2 linked regions of the Alligator mississippiensis genome follow. The protein of the gene in region 1 purifies or fractionates together with the protein of each later gene. This does not show direct contact. Links are inferred from orthologs where the notes say so. Each region holds a gene or a part of one and is shown on either strand. Other genes may lie near its edges.

Region 1 (9,350 bases):
CGAATCAGATTTGTCCAAATCGCTTTGGGACAGTGATTTGAATTGCCAAATTGAATTACTGCCCCCCCCCCAAATCAGCCGAATCCAAAGTGAATACTAGCTGTTTTGCACAGGCCTACTTGTTACCCTTGAATTAATCCTATCAAGTCTACAGAAATCCAGCTTACCTTTCCATCCTTCCATATGCTTTGTGCTTCATTAGTGTTTGCTACAAACATCTACCCAGTCATCTTCCATCTGGTGTGTGAGCCCTACAGCAAATCATTTGTTCCCCTTGCACAGACTTGGTCTCCTGGTTGCTACTGTAAATTCACAATAGTCCTGGGAAGCTGTAATTGCTGCAAAGCCCCCTCACTAGATAAAGAGATCTGGTTTTATCCCATTTCCTGTGGGAACTGTAGGGTCCATCTTTGGACTTTGGCTGAACTGTGAGGTTGAATCGCACATTTCCTTGGATTGTGCAAACTAATATACACCAATTTGTGTTTGGAAGCAATTTCTGGGAGTTTCTTATGATAGCAATGTGAGATGCTGGGGCCAGGCCAGAAGCCTTGGCCTAGGCCCAGGCCAGAAGCCTTGGCCTAGGCCCCTTTGAATTCACCCCAAGGTCTGCTACTAGTTCATAGCTCCTTGTGTGAGATTATTCTAGCTGTGAGTGGGGGAAGCCTGCTCAGATTGAGCTCTTCCTACCCCACTGCACAGATGAGAGCGAGAGACTGTGACTGCTGCAGGCACCTAACAGCTCTGGCTCCCAGGCCTGTGTATCCACAAACACAACCTCCCCCTTAGTTAACGGTAGTGTTTTTGCTGTGCCAGCCCCTCCCATCTACAAACGTTCCCCAACTGTTCTCTATGAACCCATAACCTGTTCCTTCCTTTCTCTGGCCAGTCCTTGCTCTTCATCCACCAGGTTTCATTCCCCTCCTTTTGTGAACTCTCTGGTCCCTCGCCCCGCCACCCCAAGTCCATGCATCTCAGAGGCTTAATGGGCACATCCTGGGTTGGGATGACTTACTGTTGAATTTGGGTATGTTCGGGCAGTTATGCTGGCTGCTGCCTCTCCGCAGCTGGCCTCACCTCCCTTGAATTAACTGGAAACAATTAAGATTAATCAGTAAAATATTCTTAAACCAAAAATAAACACGTTTCACAAGGATTTAAATAGTTCTTGGTAAATTGCCTTAAAGTCATACTTTATGTTAACCCAGCACAACAATTTAATGTAGACACAACCTGTTAGTATGGTATTGCTAATCCAAACAGGCAAACAAATGAGTCTAGTTTCCCAAATCAGAAGACTGGTTTATGACATTTTTGTTTAATACATTTTAATTTTTTTATATCTGGCTACCAGTTTTAGAGCTTTTAGAAGTGCGCCTACTTCACATTTTCAAGAGAGAGCAGGAGCTGACTGTGCTGCTGCTGAAATATAAGGTGGAGCGTAGTTTTAGATATATGTGTTAGGGTGTGGTGTGATTTTTTTTTTTTAATTACTAAACTATTTATACATGTAGAGACTCTAGTATGATCATAGCAAGTCTTGTGTAAAGGTTTTTGTGCCTGAGAAGCTTTTTTCATTTCCATTATGGAGCATATCAGTATAACTTGTCCCCACTAGGGGGAGTTGTTCAACTTCAGCAATATCTGTATAGATAAAGCCATATGGATTTTTCAGGGAAACATCCTATGAGATATTTTATCTAGAATATTTTTCTGCTGTTCTGCAGTGTAGACATTAGAGGGAGCAGAAGATACAAGAAATCCAGCACTGTAGCAGATTCTGTAAACAGCACCCTCAGGATCTCCTTTGCTGCTGCTATAGTTCTGCTGCAGTCATTCACTCCAATACAAAACAAGGGCAAACCATTGCTGTTCTGATTTGGTAGCATATTATAGGTACTTTTCATTCATCTTGTGCTGGTGTAAATATCTACACAAGGCACTGAGAAATTAGGCCAGGCTTAGAAAATTTAGGTTAGTGCATTGTTAGGCCTTTTCTGAACACAGGTGCGCAGGTTTAACTAACTTAAAGCCTCCTTTTTAAAACAGTTGCCAAACAACTTGCATTGATTTAATGCAGTAAGGAACTGACTTAAAATAACACAGATCAGCTCTCATGTGATATAAAAGTGCATCAGTATTGATGATTCTTATGCATTTACTGAGTGATTCTTTTGATATTTGGTGCTTTTTCTTGAAAGAGTCACAGAGTCTCTACTGAGGAAAACCCAGGCTGTAGATGTGTTCCCTCGGTGAGGTCAGGCCATGATAAGTGTTCTCTTTCACTCTTCTGCACAACTTGTGCTGGTGGGGTAAAAGGTTTTGGAACCAGAGAGCAGTGATTATTAGTCAGCTCTGCACTTTGACTACTTGGAGTGCCTTATAGAAGGGAGTGGAAAATCACTGTATTACAGCAGCCCCTGGTTACATATGCCTGCACCCTATGCTGCATCTTCTCATAGGGGATATCAAGATATGTGCCAAAATCTTGAGTGCCTAATCCTTCAGCTATGTTCAGTATCAGCAAGAAAAAACAAAATTTGCTTTTCATCCTTACCCCCACACTGTCCCTTGGTGGTATGGCCAAGACCTGCACCCCTCCTTAAAGCAAAAGGACACCTCTGAAGAATGTTTTCCCATGATGGTGATCCCAGCTGGAGGGATGGAATGGGTGCTGGTACTGTCCCAGGGTCTGAGCCCCAGCTCAATATGTGCATTAGCTCTGATTTTGTGTAAGCCATAAGGTCTTTGTGCACAACCAGCCGCCTGTTTACCGTAGCACAAGGCTTATAGCTCTTGAGCTTTCAAGCAGTCAGTCTGCACTTTCAGACACCACTGAATCGTATTCCTGGAGTCAACAGAATTTCCCCTGCTAAGGGGTAACAAGAGAGCATCAATTTGTAGAAATAAATGAACAGATGGCATTTACACTTGACTGGAGATTGCAATTACTGCAGGGCTGGATTGGCCCTTTTACAACAGTGCCTGGCTAGGGACAGAAGTTTCTGCAGGGGAAACCCCTCTAGAGCTTTCTCTTTATTCATCCAATCCCCTCAAGAGCAAGCAAGTATCCTGCTGAGGGGAGGACCAACCCGGCAGATCGTCCTTAACAGTGGACTTGTGCCTTTATCTCTGAGCTTCCAGGTGACTTCCATCTCTGGGACTTTTTGAATTCGTGGCTCCCAAGCCTGAAAGTCCCCCCAGCTATATCTCTGCAGAGCCAATGTTCATCATCTATTCATGCTATTTCTCCAGAGAGTTCTCCTGAGAATCTGGAAAGTAGCAGATGCCTTCTGCAGGAATAGCAAGGAGGCCCCAGGGGCATGACTGAATCCTTCGTTAGTGAACAGCACAGTAGTGAGGGAAGGAGCAGGTAGGTGCTTTTTCACCAGTAATTCAAGATTTTCCCCTCATTGTTCATGAAATCTTTCTGAAATCTATTCCTTCCCAATAGACTGGCTGACTGTATTTAACAAACATTTAGGACTCATTCATATTTGCTCACATGGAGGTTTTTTTGTTTATTTTTGCTGATTTCACTGTACTTTGGATAAGATTCTCAGTTACTGTGGAGATTTCCCTTGATTTTGATAGGCTTTGAATCAGGCTTTGGAGTATGAGCCTCATCCACAGTTGTCTGCCCAATAGTCTAGGTTTCTTCCCATCCTATGGGATTTAGGATTCAGTTGAGGATTCCCAATTAATTGCCTTCATTGCCTCATTTGTGAGTTGCCACATTTGTGAGTTAGCGAGTCAGCTTCAAGAAAGAACAATTCGTTATAGAATTAGCTTTTAGAGACGGTTGGATGTATCTGCATGATCTCTGACTCTTCAGAAACCGTTGTATGCTACTAGCTTTGCAACTAAGCCCCTACGCTTAAAGTAGAAGCATGCTACTTACCATCTCCCAGGTCTCCTGCTCTTGTTTCTTTTAATAGTACAGAAGACCCATCAGTCAGTATCTTATTGTCACTCAGAGCCTGGTGCGCATACACTTATCAGCGACAAAGAAGGAAACTGGCTTTTTCATCTGTGTCTGCTACAAAAAGGCCTCATTGTATTTTATTGGGTAAAGGGTGGGGTGCAAACAGAAGAGTGAACGAATTAACACAACAATTTTTATGTATTACTTTAAACATGTGACCCAATTCATAGCTGCACTGAATTTAGACCTAGTGGAAGAAAGTGAGGTGCGTGTAAAACAAAAAAAAAAGAAATCAAAGCCTGTTCTAACCCTGTGAACCCCAAAATCCTGTGCATCCTATTTTGAAAATGTTAGCAATGGAGTAAAATAAAAAGTAACCTTCCTTTAAAAAACAATAAGGTACCCTAACAATAAGGTAAGCAAACCTGAAAGCAAAGTCATATGCCAGCCAGCCAGAGCCAAGTCTAGAACACTTAGTTTGGCACTCAGCAATAATTCTGCACAAGCTTCCCTGACTATTTAGCCTGGATCTTACCTGTCGTACAACTACCAATTATGTGGTGGTTCAGAATGTAGAAAAAAATTTACCTTCAACAGTGACTAGGGGCCTGACCCAGAAGCCACTAAAATAACTGGTGGCTGGTCAGGACCTAGGAACGTAACAACCCCACAGCTCATTCATTCTGTTCAAAGGTAAAAAGTCAGATCATTATCCCATAATAATACTGATTCCTCCCCTGCAAACTGGGTTTTCAGAGCCTAAATGTTTTTGACTTGGTGTTGCAGGGCACCTTGGTGCCCTGCTCCTAGAGAGTGGAAACTACCAGGGAGAGAGAGCAGGACATAACGAGCACAGCTGCAGGTTGCCAGGGCAACTGGAGGCAGCGAATGACTGACACCTGACAGTGGTTAGTTGGCTGTAAGGGGCAAGGCCTGGCCCTTATAAAGCCCAGAGCTGAAGCCAAGCTGGCAGTTCTCTGCCAGCGGCCGGGGAGGCAGGAGATCCTGGAGCTAGGATGCGAGCATTGTGGGAACCGCTCTAGCTGAGTGAAGGAGGGCAGCTCAAAGAGGTTTGATCACCATGGTTTAGCCAGATGGCTTATAGTTATGTTGTAGCCTAGGGGCTTGTGGTTTTGTTGTTGTTTATTACACCGGTGGCTAGGGTGAGGCTATTAGGGGTTGGAGGAGGCTTCATAGGGAGCCCCAGGGGGGTGCGGGCCCCAGCGCCAGTGAGGGGGCAGTATTATTAGGGAGCCCCAGGGCGGGCGCGGCAAGCCCTGAGGAAGGCCTAGTGCTGCAGTAAACCCCGGAGAAGGGCGGTGTACTGCGGTGAACCCTGAGAGAAAGGGGGTAGCAGTGTGGTGAGCTCTGGAGAGCAGGGCTAGCAGTGCGGTTGGGCCTGAAAGACAGGTGGCTTGACGAGAAGTCCCAGAGAGGGTGCAGAAGTCCCCAGGAAAGGGGGCAACATTACAGGGAAGGCCCCAGAGAGGGGCAACATTACAGGGAGCCCCCGAGTGGGCTCGGAGAGCCCAAGAGGGGGGGCAGCATGACAGAGGAGGCCCAAGAGAGCGGGCAGGTGTACACAGGAGGCCCCAGAGAGGGGTGACATCACAGAGAAGGCCCCGAGGGGGCTTGGAGAGCCCAGGAGGGGGCAGCATAACAGAGAAGGCCCGAGAAACGGGCATGAATATAGGCAGAGACACACCAACATCTATTCCATCTGCGAGGCTTGGGGCGTGGTATCGGGGGTGGCTGGAGCCACGTGTAGCTCATAAGGCTAGGGTGCCTGGGAAGCACCCATCATACGAGGAGACCCCTGGTGGGTCCGGGAAAACACGGGGACAGAGGTCCCAGCTAACTGTGCCCAAGGAGACGTGAGGCAGCCTCCCAACTTAACCTAACATCAAAGACGTGGTGGGTAAGAATAGAGGGTGCCCTTGGGCTGATTTGGCACGGAGGAAGGGGCCTCAAGGAGTTCACGGCCCTCCTGTAGGACCCCCCCGTGACACTTGAGCTGTACTTACAGGCACAAAAGAGCTTATGATTTCATTCCAACATCCAAAATCACACCCCCTCTCGCTCCTTCAGAATAAATAAGGGTCCCTCTGCCTTAGGCTGTTAACACTTTTAAATAAAGCTTCTGCCCCACTCCCCCACCAAAAAAAAGATGAAAGAGATCCGTTGCTCCAAAAGTATAGAGCAATATGTGATAGAAAAGCAATTGCGTACACAGTAATGTGATTCCATAAAGTACTTTTCATACATAATTTTTAAAGCATTTTACAAAACAAGGCACTTCTGTTGTCTGCATTTATGGATGGACAAAATTATGCATAAGAGCACAGGAAAGTGATTTGCACAATGCTCTCCATCAGTTCAGTGGCAAGGACAGGAACCAAACCTGGGACTGTGCCAGTACTCAATTAGTCTTTAACATACAACTGATATTGGTGGTCATTTTCAACTTAAGCACCTGACCCAGGGGTGGGCAAAATGTGGCCTGCCAGGCCATTCTATCTGGCCCATGGGGCCCCTAAAAAATTGAGAAAATTAATATTTATCTGCCCTGGGCTGCCTGTCATGTGGCCTTCAATGGCTTGCCAAAACTCAGTAAGTGGCCCTTTGCCCAAAATAATTGCTCACCCCTGTACTAAAGCCTCTGGGTCCCCAGAAAGTACAAAGCTAAGAATAATTCAGACATTTGATGGAAATATTCAGGGATCTGATTAAATAAATATTTTATTTATGTATTTATTTTAGTACATAGTGAAAAGTAACCACACAACAATAAGAGTCACTGAAAGTTACTTTAAGATATTTATATAGTCAATGTAGGGAAAAAGGACATTTTACTTAAAGCCCAACACCTAGAGAATAATGAACTATTCTGTTGGTGTTTTCTTCATTGCTTCTGTGCAATAGCCTTTCTAAATCACATTTGTTTAGTCCATGTTAAGAACATGCAACATTCCAGGTGGAGGGTTCTTTTGTGACTGTGATCTATCTGGATTTCTGTACATACTTGTTCCATTGGAGCTATTGGTAGTTGTGTTCCAGATTATTTGTACATTATCCTGAAGACCTTATCTATATTATCTTTTCCCTTAACATCTCTCCTGTTTACATTAGCAGCAGTATAACACCACCATGGGAGCACTTCTCTAGACCTGACATTGTTATTGTATCACAGTGCTGTCAAATCCCACTCGCTATGGGCATTTATATATGTGCACCAGGGAAGGGGGGAGGAGGGAGCAGAGCTGCTTTAATTAGAGCGACTCCAAGAACCACTCTTATTAAAGCACCTGGAGCATTATGTGTGCCAGTGTCCCCATGCTGAAAAATGGCAGCAGGCACCTCCTAGATCCTGTTATAGATTCATAGATGTTAGGGTCGGAAGGGACCTCAATAGATCATCGAGTCCGACCCCCTGCATAAGCAGGAAAGAGTGCTGGGTCTAGATGACCCCAGCTAGATACTCATCTAACCTCCTCTTGAAGACCCCCAGGGTAGGGGAGAGCACCACCTCCCTTGGGAGCCCGTTCCAGACCTTGGCCACTCTGACTGTGAAGAAGTTCTTCCTAATGACCCATCTAAATCTGCTCTCTGCTAGCTTGTGGCCATTGTTTCTTGTAACCCCCGGGGGCGCCTTGGTGAATAAATACTCACCAATTCCTTTCTGTGCCCCTGTGATGAATTTATAGGCAGCCACAAGGTTGCCTCTCAACCTTCTCTTGCAGAGGCTGAAAAGGTCCAGTTTCTCTAGTCTCTCCTCGTAGGGCTTGGTCTGCAGGCCCTTAACCATACGAGTGGCCCTTCTCTGGACCCTCTCCAGGTTATCCGCATCCTTCTTAAAGTGTGGCACCCAGAATTGCACGCAGTACTCCAACTGCGGTCTGACCAGCGCCCGATAGAGGGGAAGTATCACCTCCTTGGACCTATTCGTCATGCATCTGCTGATGCACGATAAAGTGCCATTGGCTTTTTTGATGGCTTCGTCACACTGCCAACTCATGTTCATCTTGGAGTCCACTAGGACTCCAAGATCCCTTTCCACCTCTGTGCCACCCAGCAGGTCATTCCCTAGGCTGTAGGTGTGCTGGACATTTTTCCTCCCTAGGTGCAGCACTTTGCATTTCTCCTTGTTGAACTGCATTCTGTTGTTTTCTGCCCACTTGTCCAACCTGTCCAGGTCTGCCTGCAGCTGTTCCCTGCCCTCCGGCGTGTCCACATCTCCCCATAGCTTTGTGTCATATAGTGAGAGAGTTATAGTGAGAGAGTTCCTAAAACAAAATAGTGTAGACGTAGCTTTCCCACGCACGGACTTGTAAGTATTGTTAATGTCTTTCCAGAGCCAGCACAGATGGTAGAAACTGAACATGTCAGTGTGCATCTGCAATGGAGTATTATCTTCCTAATCAGCTACAAACTAAAACGCTAACATCAGCTCCTGGGGTATTTTTCTCTTCCATTTTAAAGCAAGACTGCCTTAACAGCAGGATTTACAAGAAGCAGGGATAATGGAGCCAAATAGAGAATTTATATTGGGCTTTGATAGGTTCTTTGGCCTGCGGAAGAAAGAAAATATCTACCCAGGTTGAATTACTATGACTGAGAAAAATATACTGTATTTCTTGCCTGCCAAGTTCTGTTGTCCATTTATATCCTGTTCTCAAGTGAATACAAATATCCTTGACAGTCAAGTATTGTGCAATTCCTGCCAAATGCTCTCAAATATTAAAATACCACTTACTAAAAGCATGCCCAATATTCTTGTCAGAATTATGAGATCATAGATAACTACTATATTTTACAATTCCATTAATGCATATAGAGGATCAATTAGCAGAATAAGTTATCAGCTCTGCTATTAAAGTAAGAGTAACCTCGTTTAATTTTTGGGGAAATTAAGTTTTCCCAAAACCCAAGACATTTTATGTGGGAACTGCACTAAGATTAACTAACCTCTGCTTTAATCAATGTGTGTGGTGAGATTGAAGCAGCAGTTTCACTGTTAAGTGCACTCTCACATTGCATCTCATCTATAACAAGATCACCTGAAAGAGATGTTTTAAGTTCCAGATTCCTTTTGAGGTTTTCTTTACTGTCCTCATATTCTATTTTCCCTACCTTTTTATGTACAAGTTGACAATGATATTAGGAATCAAGAGAACATTATGGCTCATGGCAATAGGATAAGGAGCATTTTTCCCTGTAGGTTCCATTCAAATCTAAAGTCAGCAAAGGGCAGTGCACAAAGGTTTTTGGGTGAGCTATATGAAATGGGATGGTGAGCTGGCTGAGCTGTTCGCCACACCATGAAAATCTCATCAACTTAAGGCATTGCATAATGATATAAAATGGCTCTTCAGCAGCCCTCAGAACTCTTTGACAATAATTAAAACACAAAGCCAATTTAAAAATA
Region 2 (9,644 bases), on another chromosome or scaffold:
CACAAAATTAATGCATCATATGTTAACTAGATTAAGACAGGCTAACTGCTAGATCTCAAAGTAACTGTAGATCAGGAATCATCTTTGTGTGGGGTATTTCTTGCAATGTCCAGCAAAGATCTGTTCTTGCCCCTGAGCAATACTGTATCAGTGATGCAGAGCAATGGTGCTCAACCCTTTGGTCCTGTGGGCCAGGTGAGTGGTGCTGATCCGGTAGGCAAGATTGCTCCATGGGCCAGATTCAGTGTGGTGTCAGCATGCAGAGTTGGTCTGTGGGCTCTAGAAGCTGCAGCAATTAATGCTGAAACAGCTCTTCCGACAGAGAGGAAACAATGCGAGTGGCAAGTCAGCCACTGCTCACAAAAACTGGACAGCTTTTAAGGGGACATTGTAGTTGTAGACATTGAAAATGACACGTACCCAAGCAGCGATGTGGAAAATGAAGAGAATCCAAGGGTCAGAAGAAGAGTTGGACGTGGTTAGAGCAGCAGGCAAATCTGATGGTCCTTGTAGCAGTGTTTTTGATAACTGGAGATGGGAGTACCCAAGTTTTCAGAGCAAGCAATGCCAGGGTCCCCTGTATTAATGCAGACTCACCACCAGTGCTGAACCTATTCGATAGAAATGCTGAAATGAATTAATTGCAGCATGTGTAACAAGTAACTTCTGGTGATCAATCTGTGCATGCAGATACCAAGTGTGTTACCATGGTGACAAACACTATACAATTAAAAACAGTATTTTTTCTAAGAACTCTGAATATATCATTACCTGTGGTAGTTTTCATAGAAATCTAGCAACGATGTTGATGAGAGTGGTCCTTTGGGGTAACTGGCTGATATTCCTTATCATCCTTCCCCACTGCTTTACCATTGATCGTTGAAGCAGTGGCAGGAACTAAGTGTTGGCTTGGAGAAGATCTCTCCTTGCATTCCATGGAGTTGCTGGGCACAGGGTTGTTGGAACAAAATAGCCCCGAGTTTCTCATAGATTGCATTAAAGAATAGCAGCAAGAGCAGCTGAAGGCAGAGTAGAAGGAAATGGACTTGAAAGGGAGTGAACGACCTTGACACCCAAAAGTATTGTTAGTAGCCTGTACTCAGCTCAGCACCTCTCCTGCACCTACGTGTATTCCTCTCCAGTGCCAGATGGGCATCGCTGTCTCAGAAAGGTTCTGCTATGTGCCCAAAGGACCTGTGCAGTTCACAAGTCAAGCCCAGCAAGCTAGGGCATCTAGAGCAGAAGCCTGATGGGGAGTGACCTCAGGAATTACATTTTGAGTGGGCGTATGTGGCTGTGATTCTTGAATGCGGGGGGAGTGTCTTTTGCACAAATTGTCCTTCCAAACAGTCTTGGATGGCACGCTAAGTACCTTACAGACATGGGGGCAAATTCTTTAAGGCACAGATTAACTGGATTGACAGTGCATTTTACGTACATTATGCTACTTGAGGAAAATTCAGCAGTGGGGCTGGAGGAGTTAATTTGGCTTGGATCTCATTTCCAGCTTGGCCTTTACAATCAAAATGCCTTTTCTTCCTCAAATGTAGCTGTTTTCCAGAGACTCACTTTGAAAGAGTGTCCCTGAAACAGATACTGGATAGTAAAATCCCAAGAGGCCGCAGCAGAAGTGTATTTCAATTGACAAAAAGCTGGATGAAGTGGAATGAAAATGGCCTACTGAATTCTCCAGGGGTTTTGGTGAGAGCTCTGGTTGCTTCTGGATGTTAATGAGCTTGTAGCGGCAGCCACAGCTCAGACCACTGATAGAGACCCAGCTCGCTGTGCCTAGCGCATGGCTGACGGTGCCAGGGCGCGCACGGTAACTGGGGAGCCTGCTGCACTTCCAAGACTCGCCCAGTCTTCTCTGCTGCCATGTAACTGGCACGGGAGCTGCCCCAGGATAGTTCCTTAATTAGGGATTGTTTCCCAGTTGGAAAAAGAAAGGGATGCAATTGAGCAGGATGCTGCGTTGGGACAGAACAGCAACAGAGACCCTGCCTACTTGCCAGATCTTTGCAAATTGTTTCAAAAACAGGGAAGGGAGGAGTCATTTCCATTTTCAACAGTCTTTTCCAACTAATTACGTGTATTCATTTCTATTCCAGCAGTGCCAAAAGACCCTTATCAAAGATCAGGGCCTCATTATACTTGGCACTATCCAAATGAATAATAAAACATTCCCTCCTCTGGGAAAGGTTTCAGTTTTCCCAGTAGATTGCCAGACATTGGGAAAGGTAGTGAAATGATATAAAGTCAGCGCTCCTCTCGTCTCATACCATGCAGCTCGAAGGATGAGTTGGTAAGCAAATCGTGCGATTGGATATTTTATCGAACAAAGACATCTCCCTCTGGACAGACGGGGCACAGGAGTTTGGACTCGCTGGAAGCCCACCCAGGATGCCTTTTGGGACAGGAGCAGGCTAGGAAAGTGCACGGCTGATCCTGACAGGAGAAGAGCTACATACTAAGGGCAAAACTTGGGCTATGGTTGTGTTTGCTCTGGTTAAAATGAGAGCTGTTTCAAAACCCAGAGTTGGCAGCATAGCAAACTGAGGTGGCATTTGGACAATGATGGTACTAATGGCCCTAGCTACCTGAGCACCAGACTTGAGACACCCGATGCCTGGTTTTTGAAAGGGTTACTCAGGACGCAGCTGACACCCTTGGGAGCTGTAGAAGGAGCACGGCTTTGAGAATCAAAGGTCCCAAGTTAGAATCCTGCTCCACCACTGACTCACTGTGTAGCCTGGGGCAAATCCCTGCATCTTCCTTTCCACCTTCCTCATCTGTCAGGTGGGGATTACAGTATCCCTAGTTTCCCAGAGGTGTGGTTGCAAGGATCGGTGTCTGTACCTTGCTTTGAATGCACAAAAACGCTAATAAGTGCTCCGACCATCAAATCTCAGGTACCCCACATTGGGGGTTTTCACTGAGGCACAGGAAATTCGTGCAGGGTTTAGATGGGAGGCAATCCTCTATCCTCTCCCAGATTTGGGAGGCAGTCCCCTCAGTGCCTACGAAGGAAAAGAAGTCCTGTCTCGTTCACTGAATGGCATTCGTCCTGCAACTGGAATCACGTAGGTGTTCTGTGCAGAGTTTGATCGTATAACTAGCTGCATCATATGCACAAAGGGGAAGATATAAAATCGTTGAAGCAACTTTGTATCTAGTAATGAGTTTGCAACCAAAAAAACCATTGTTTAAAATGTTGGGTTTTGTATTCTAGGTACGTAATTGCACTGGGAAATTGGGCAAGGTCAGAGAGGAAGAACCTGTGATGCTTGTACACTGCTACAAGAAGCTTCAACAATGAACTGTTGGACTAGAACTTCAGTTGTGACGTGGCGGTGATCCTGGGATGGTGAGGTATTTCCATGGCAGCCTTCCCCCATTGACACTGGTGCACAGGACATGCATTCATTTCTTTAATTTTTCTCTCATTTGCTGCTGCCTCCATTTGCCTTATGGTGCTGAGATTTACTGCTCTGCCTTCCTTGGTAAGGGCTGTTCTGAAAGTTTCCCAGGGAAGCCCTCCTTACTCCCATCAGTTATTTCACGTGGGAATCTTTGTGCTGGTATCCGGAAACAACATGCCTCAGATGTCTAGTGCTTCCCTCTGATTCTGGCGGAGGCGAGCTGCTGGCTGGGGATTTCTTGGACCTCTTGAGTGGCGAGGAAGAGTGCCCGTGCAGTGCCCACAATCTTTCACAGGTTCTCGTTTTTGAGGACGTTCTGTTTCCTGTATAATGTGGTAAATCCCCAGCTCTTGCAGCCCTGCTGTAGCATAGATTATATTGGAGTTGTAAAGACTACTCTCCACTGTGGTTCCAGTGCTGCGTATCTTTGCTTTGCAGGTGTTGTTGAGCTGAATAAATGTGGATGTTATTCCCGTCTCTGATGCCACTGAGCTCTCTCCTGGTAACATGGTGCTGCCCAGGTAGATGGCCTGGTTTGTTTTCTACAATGTTTTTGCCTTCTGGTGCGATACTGCAGTTTCACAGGGCACTGGCGAGACCTCGGAAAGACTGCATGCGATTCCAGTTAGTTGAAAGAGGAATTCAGACAGGAACAGGTATAGACGAGGGTTACTGGGATGCTCTGGGGAATTGAGAGCCTAACGGTTGGGTTTGTTTAATCTAGCGAAACAAAGACAGATGCAGTGTGATGTGACTGTAATTTGTAAATACAGGAAGGAGGTAAACATCATGGCTGGGAAAGAAAACAGTCTAAAATAAAAGACAACGCTGGCACAAGAATGAATGGAGATTAACGTAGCTGTGAATCATGTAGGCTTGAAATTAGAAGGCTCATAACTATCAGAGGAGTGAGGTTTTGGAAGAGCCTCCCAATAGGAGAAGTGGGGGCAAGAAACGGGACTCGTTTTACGATGGAGCATCAGTGTGTGGATGCGACCACGCGGCGTGGTTCCCTGCAGCAGCAGGACACTGCTAGGCTCAGCGACCCAGGAGCTGTCGCCCGGTCCCACGTTCCTGTGTCCACGTGCGCACGCCACGGTAGTGTCTCCTGCTTCCACCGGGAGATTTAGAAACAACAACCATTGCTGGAAGTATTCAACTGAAATGAGTTAATAAAAAAGTGGGGGTTTTTGGCAGGGGGTGGGCAAACCTAAGATTTGGACCAAATCTGAACCAACTAATGCTTTTTCAAGAAACCTGTTCAGTTTCTTTCAGCCCTAGTTCTCTACGATCTACGCCGGGGCCCACAGCGTTTTTGGGCAGCGCCAGAAGCCCCCGCACGACCCGGACTGGTAAGGTGTCGGGGTGCTGGGATGCATGGCAGGGGACCCGAGGGGCCTGCGCCCGGGCGTGGCAGTGCGGCCCCAGCCCCTTCCCCAGCGTGTGCCCCGAGGCGGGCACGCCGGCGCTGGCACGAGTGTGGGGCTGCCTGCCCCGTTGATGACCCGCTCGCTCACCCCTCTTCCGCGAAACGTGGCACAGATCTGTGCTGCAAGAACAGGTGCTGGTACCGCCCGGCCACCGCCGAGTCACACCTTGCCTGGGCGGTGTCCCCGTGCCGTGGGTGCGCGGACAGGGCGTGTCACGGCGCGGGCTGCCACCGGGTCTCGTACAGCCCCCGCCCGCCACGCTGTTGGGCCTGTAACAAAGTCGCCCCCGCACGAGGAGGCGGCTGCAGCTGTGCGGCCCGCGGGGTGGCTGCCCTGGCGCGCGGGGGCCTTGCTGGACCCCCCCCCCGCCCGTGCACGGGGGCAGCGGCGTGCTTGTGTCCGCTCCCCCCCGGCCCGGGGCTGCCCGCCCTCGCCGCCCAGCGCCCCGCCCCGGCCCGGCGCAGCAGGCAGCGGAGCGGAGCGGAGCGGGGCGGGATCCGGGGCGCGGGCGCGGGCGGCTCCTCCCCGCCGCCACGCCCGGGCAGAGCAGGAACAGGAACCGCCGCTCCCGCCCGCCCGCCCGCCCGCGCAGCCCAGCGCAGCGCAGCGCAGCCCCGCGCCCAGCGCACCCGGCCGCCATGTCGGTGTCGGACGAAGCGGACGGCCCCGGGGTGGCCCGGCCACACTATGGCTGTGAGTACCGGCTCCGCTCCGCCCGCCCCGCCCCGCACCGCGCCCGGCAGGCAGGCAGGCAGGCAGGGAGGGTGGACGGACGGGCGGGCGGGGGGCGCGGTGACCCGCCCGCGCGTGGCGTGGGGAGCGGCCGCAGCGCGCGGTGGCGGAGGAGACGCCCGCAGCCCCCGCCCCGCCCCGCCCCGCACGGAGGGCCCTGGCACCCGTCCCTTCCCGGAGCGGGCGCGGTGCTGAGCCCCGGGCCGCCAGCACGAAGCGCGCTGCAGCGGGGGCGCGGGGCGCCGGGCAGGTGTCTCGCGGCCCGGCCCGGCCCGGCCGTGTCGCGTGGGCAGCTTCCCCCCGTGGCGCGGGGGCTGCTCGTGCGTTGGGTGGCAGCGCCGAGCAGCCTGTGCCGGGCGTGTGGGGTGGCCGTGCGGCCCCGGGTGCTCGGCCTTGGCTTCCCCCAGGCCTTGGGGCCGGCTTCCCTCCTCGCCTGCCAGGCCGTCACCCACGTGCGAGCCCGGGAAGGGAGGCTGCCTGGGGATCCCCCTTCAGCAGCTACCTCTCCCTGCTCATCCAGCACTGGAGGGCTGGGTTCCTGGCCTCCTCACCTCCCAGCTGCACCCAGGCCTGGCACATGTTGCCAGCGATGACTCAGTTCAGGCCCTGCTCCGGGCTCTGTAGCCCTGCCTCTGCCCTCTCTGGGACTGGCTCTCGCCAGCCCCAGCTCTCGTTCTTCCTCGGCCCTGTTCCTGGGCTCTGGCCCTCCACCACCCCCGGTCCCAGGCCCAAACCACCAGTGTTTTCCAGGCAGGTCCACAATACTCTACTTGCCTGCCCTACTCCCAGGCTCAAGCGTATCCCTGGTGCGAGTCAGGGGCTCCTCTGCTGCCCTCCCGGGTGGGAGCTCTTCCTCCCATACCTGCCCCCGCTCGGGCCCGGGCTTATACGCTCTCACCTGGCCCCTTCCAGTCCCTTGAATGCCACCTGGGCTCTTCCTAGAGCCTTTCTCCTGAAGTAACAGGAGCGCAAAGGTGCCTGTTACGACGTGCAGATGCTGCACAGACCCTCAGGGTTAGGATCTGAACATGGTGGAGTTTCCAGTTTCTCCTGTGTGCGTCCCTGTCCCATGTGAACAGCCCAGCATTGTGCGGTGGAGATGGGCTGCAGTCCGTACGCACGTCTTCTCCGGCGTGAGGTGCCCGGTTCTCTCTTCGTGCCTCCTACTCGCCTGCGTCAGACGCCCGGCTGCCCTTCCATATGTCTCCTCTTGCTTCATTTGATACAAGAACATTTTGGTTGTTGCAAGACGATTCCTTTTTTCTGCACAAAGAGACTGTCTCCTTTCTGAATCGATACATAATCTGTTCCCGTTTGTAGTCCTAATGTAATTTTTAACATTGAAAAGCTGATAAACTGTAGCGTTAATGTTTTAACTTTACCTCTGCCCCTTCTGTATCTGCATGGTGAAGGACGTGACTGCGCACCCTTCTTTGCACAGGCTCCGGGTCTCATTCTCAGTACCGGTTAGAAGGGGGATGAGGCTTGGCTTCCAAGAGAATGAAAAAGTGCTCCTGTGGGGTTATGGCTGCTTTGAGACCTAAATTGTCACAATTGCATAGAAGCAAATGGATCTTACTTTGAATATGCCTGTGTGTAAATGGGTAAATAGAAAATGAGGGCTGGAAGGGACATCTGGTCCAGCCCCCTGTTCAAAGTAGGACCAGCTCCAGCTGTTAGATTTGGACGCTATGTATATTGAGTAAGGTGAGGGGTCTCTGTTTAGTAGTAGTGGAAACAGGAGTACAGGTGCTAATTGCATGCTAAATGAGTCTAGGATAGTTAGGAAATAATAGTATGTGATTATGTATTTTAAACACTGTATCGTTATGCAGATGTGAAATGAGAGACTGTGTTGCACAAGCCCTGTCTCCATTAATGGCAGCCTGCAGCTTAATTATGTTAAAAACCCCAGATTAGACCCTGCTAAATGCAGTTGAAGTCTTTTTTGGGATTTAGCTGTGAAAATCACTAAGCCACTGTGAAGGGCAGTTTTAGCCCTTTCCCCCAAAGGATTTATAGATTGACCAGATTTGGGTGGGTTTTCATAGGACAGCAAAAGGCACTTTTTTGATGTAAAGGCCACCCATGTACCAAATGCCAAGTTCCTGTTCAAAAGTATGGCAGTGCTAGAGCTTCTTAAAACTAATGTCATCAGGTTATTTTAAAATGGGCAAAATATATTTTTCTTTCCACTTATTCTTGGAAATGGCTGAACCTCCTTGTCTGAAAATTTTCAGAATGATTCAGCCTGAGGTTAGCGACCAGTATGCAGAATTTCAGCCTAAATAGCCAAAGTTTGAAGTTGTGCCCCATAAAATAGGAAGCATCAGACAGTGTTATAACAGCAGTTGTGCTGTCAGCTCACTTTGGGTCAGAAGGAGCGTGCAGATATCCATGTTACCAGATTATGTAGTTGTCATCTTCCCCCTTCATCTCAAACTTCCCCAAAAATTCACGGTCGAGCCAAGATTAGACACTGACAGTGTTCATTTGAAATCCTGTCTAGCACTACTCCAGCTATGCAGGTGGTCCAGTCAGAGACATTGCTGTTAGAAATCCTTGCTTCTCCCAGTATGAATCACAAAACCGTGGGAAAGCAGGGCTGGAAGGATGCTCCAGAGGTCGTCTAATCCAGTCACCTGCATGAGGCAAATCCATTAGCTAACCTCTCAGCAAAACTGCGTGGTCAGCCGTGACACAGTCACACAACGACACCTGAACCTGCCACAGGTAAAGCAGGGGGGCCATGGCGGCCATCGTCCCACGGTTGTTAAAAAACACTCGAGGTCCAAAGAAGAGAGCCAGGCCCCACTCCCTTTAGAGGAAGGTGTATGGACCCCCCCCAGTCTGTACGAATCTGACCGCAAGGTAAACCCCCCAGCGTAGTGTTGGTCTGGCCTTAGCCAGGAGCCTCTGGGTGCAAGTCCCAGCAGCAGCATAGGCACACCCCAGTAAAATACTTCTGAGGAAAGCAAAAAACCAAACAAACCCCTAAAACACACAGCAGTAGGGGGAGAAAAATTTCCTCCCAGCCCCATCTGGGACCCAGCAAAGCCCACAAGCCTGGGAAATACCCACAGTAGAGCATGGCAGTAGCTGCGTCTAGATCCTCCCTGACCAATGCTTATCCACTGCATGAGATGCTCCGGGCGCTTTAATTACAGGTACCGTATCCCAAAACTGCATTCGCCTTTTGTGCAACTGCATCATGCTGCAGACTCATGCCGAGTCTGTGATCTACCAAGACTTCCATATCCCAGGGGTAGTTGAAGGGAGGATGCACATGTTTGCGTAGGCTGCAGGATTGCAGACAAGGACCTGGGGGTTGAAGTGGACTGTAAGCTGAACATGAGCTAATAGTAAGCTCTTGCTGCAAAAAAAAATGCCAGTGACACCCGGGGTTGTATTGAGAGGAGTGTCACTTGCAGATCGCAGGTGTGGTCTCTCCTGGAGTACTGGGGCCAGTAGTGAGACCCGCACTTCAGGACAGACATGGACAGATTAGAAAGAGCCCACTGGAGAGCGACCAAAACGATGAAGCCTGGAAAACATGACTCCTGTTTGGAGAAGAGAAGACGGGGGATTTGATAGCAGTCTTCAAATACCTGAAGGATAGTTAAAGAGAGGATGAAGAGCAGAGACTTCTTTGTGGCCATAGGGAGCAACGGCCTCAAACGCAGCAGGGGAAATTGAAGTTGGAGACTAGGAGGGATTTTCTGAGAGTGGTCAAGCACTGGGACAGGCTGCATAGAGAAGTTGTGGGGTCACCGTTGTTGGACATTTTCAGGAGCAAGTTATCTACTCGTGTAGGATGCTTCAGTCAGGGATGTTCCTGCCTTTGGGAGGCGGCTGGGCTAGATGTGACTTCCTGGGGGCTCTGCCAGCTTGACTTCTCTGTGATTCTAAGATGTTGTAAGAGAAATGTTAGAGAGGGAAGGGGAGAGCAAGCAGACGGAGAGTCACAAAAGCTAAGGGAAGACAAGAGGTCAAAAAGTGGGCCGCAGTTGACTGTGATGAAGGCAGTTGACAGGCCGAGGAGGATGCGATGGAAGGCTGGCTC

Evidence for each region.
Region 2: the proteins of S100B (region 1) and IQGAP1 purify together in Homo sapiens (co-immunoprecipitation; 3 studies listed by BioGRID and IntAct, with this or other methods). This does not show direct contact. The link is inferred for Alligator mississippiensis from reciprocal best matches to the Homo sapiens genes S100B and IQGAP1.

What each region holds. Positions count from the first base shown.
Region 1 is NC_081827.1:188,578,443-188,587,792, forward strand, and holds the start of S100B (protein S100-B), read left to right. Parts: upstream 1-4,899; 5' UTR 4,900-4,995; intron 4,996-9,350. UniProt on the Homo sapiens protein: Small zinc- and- and calcium-binding protein that is highly expressed in astrocytes and constitutes one of the most abundant soluble proteins in brain.
Region 2 is NC_081834.1:412,639-422,282, reverse strand, and holds the start of IQGAP1 (ras GTPase-activating-like protein IQGAP1), read left to right. Parts: upstream 1-5,426; 5' UTR 5,427-5,487; coding exon 5,488-5,542; intron 5,543-9,644. UniProt on the Homo sapiens protein: Plays a crucial role in regulating the dynamics and assembly of the actin cytoskeleton.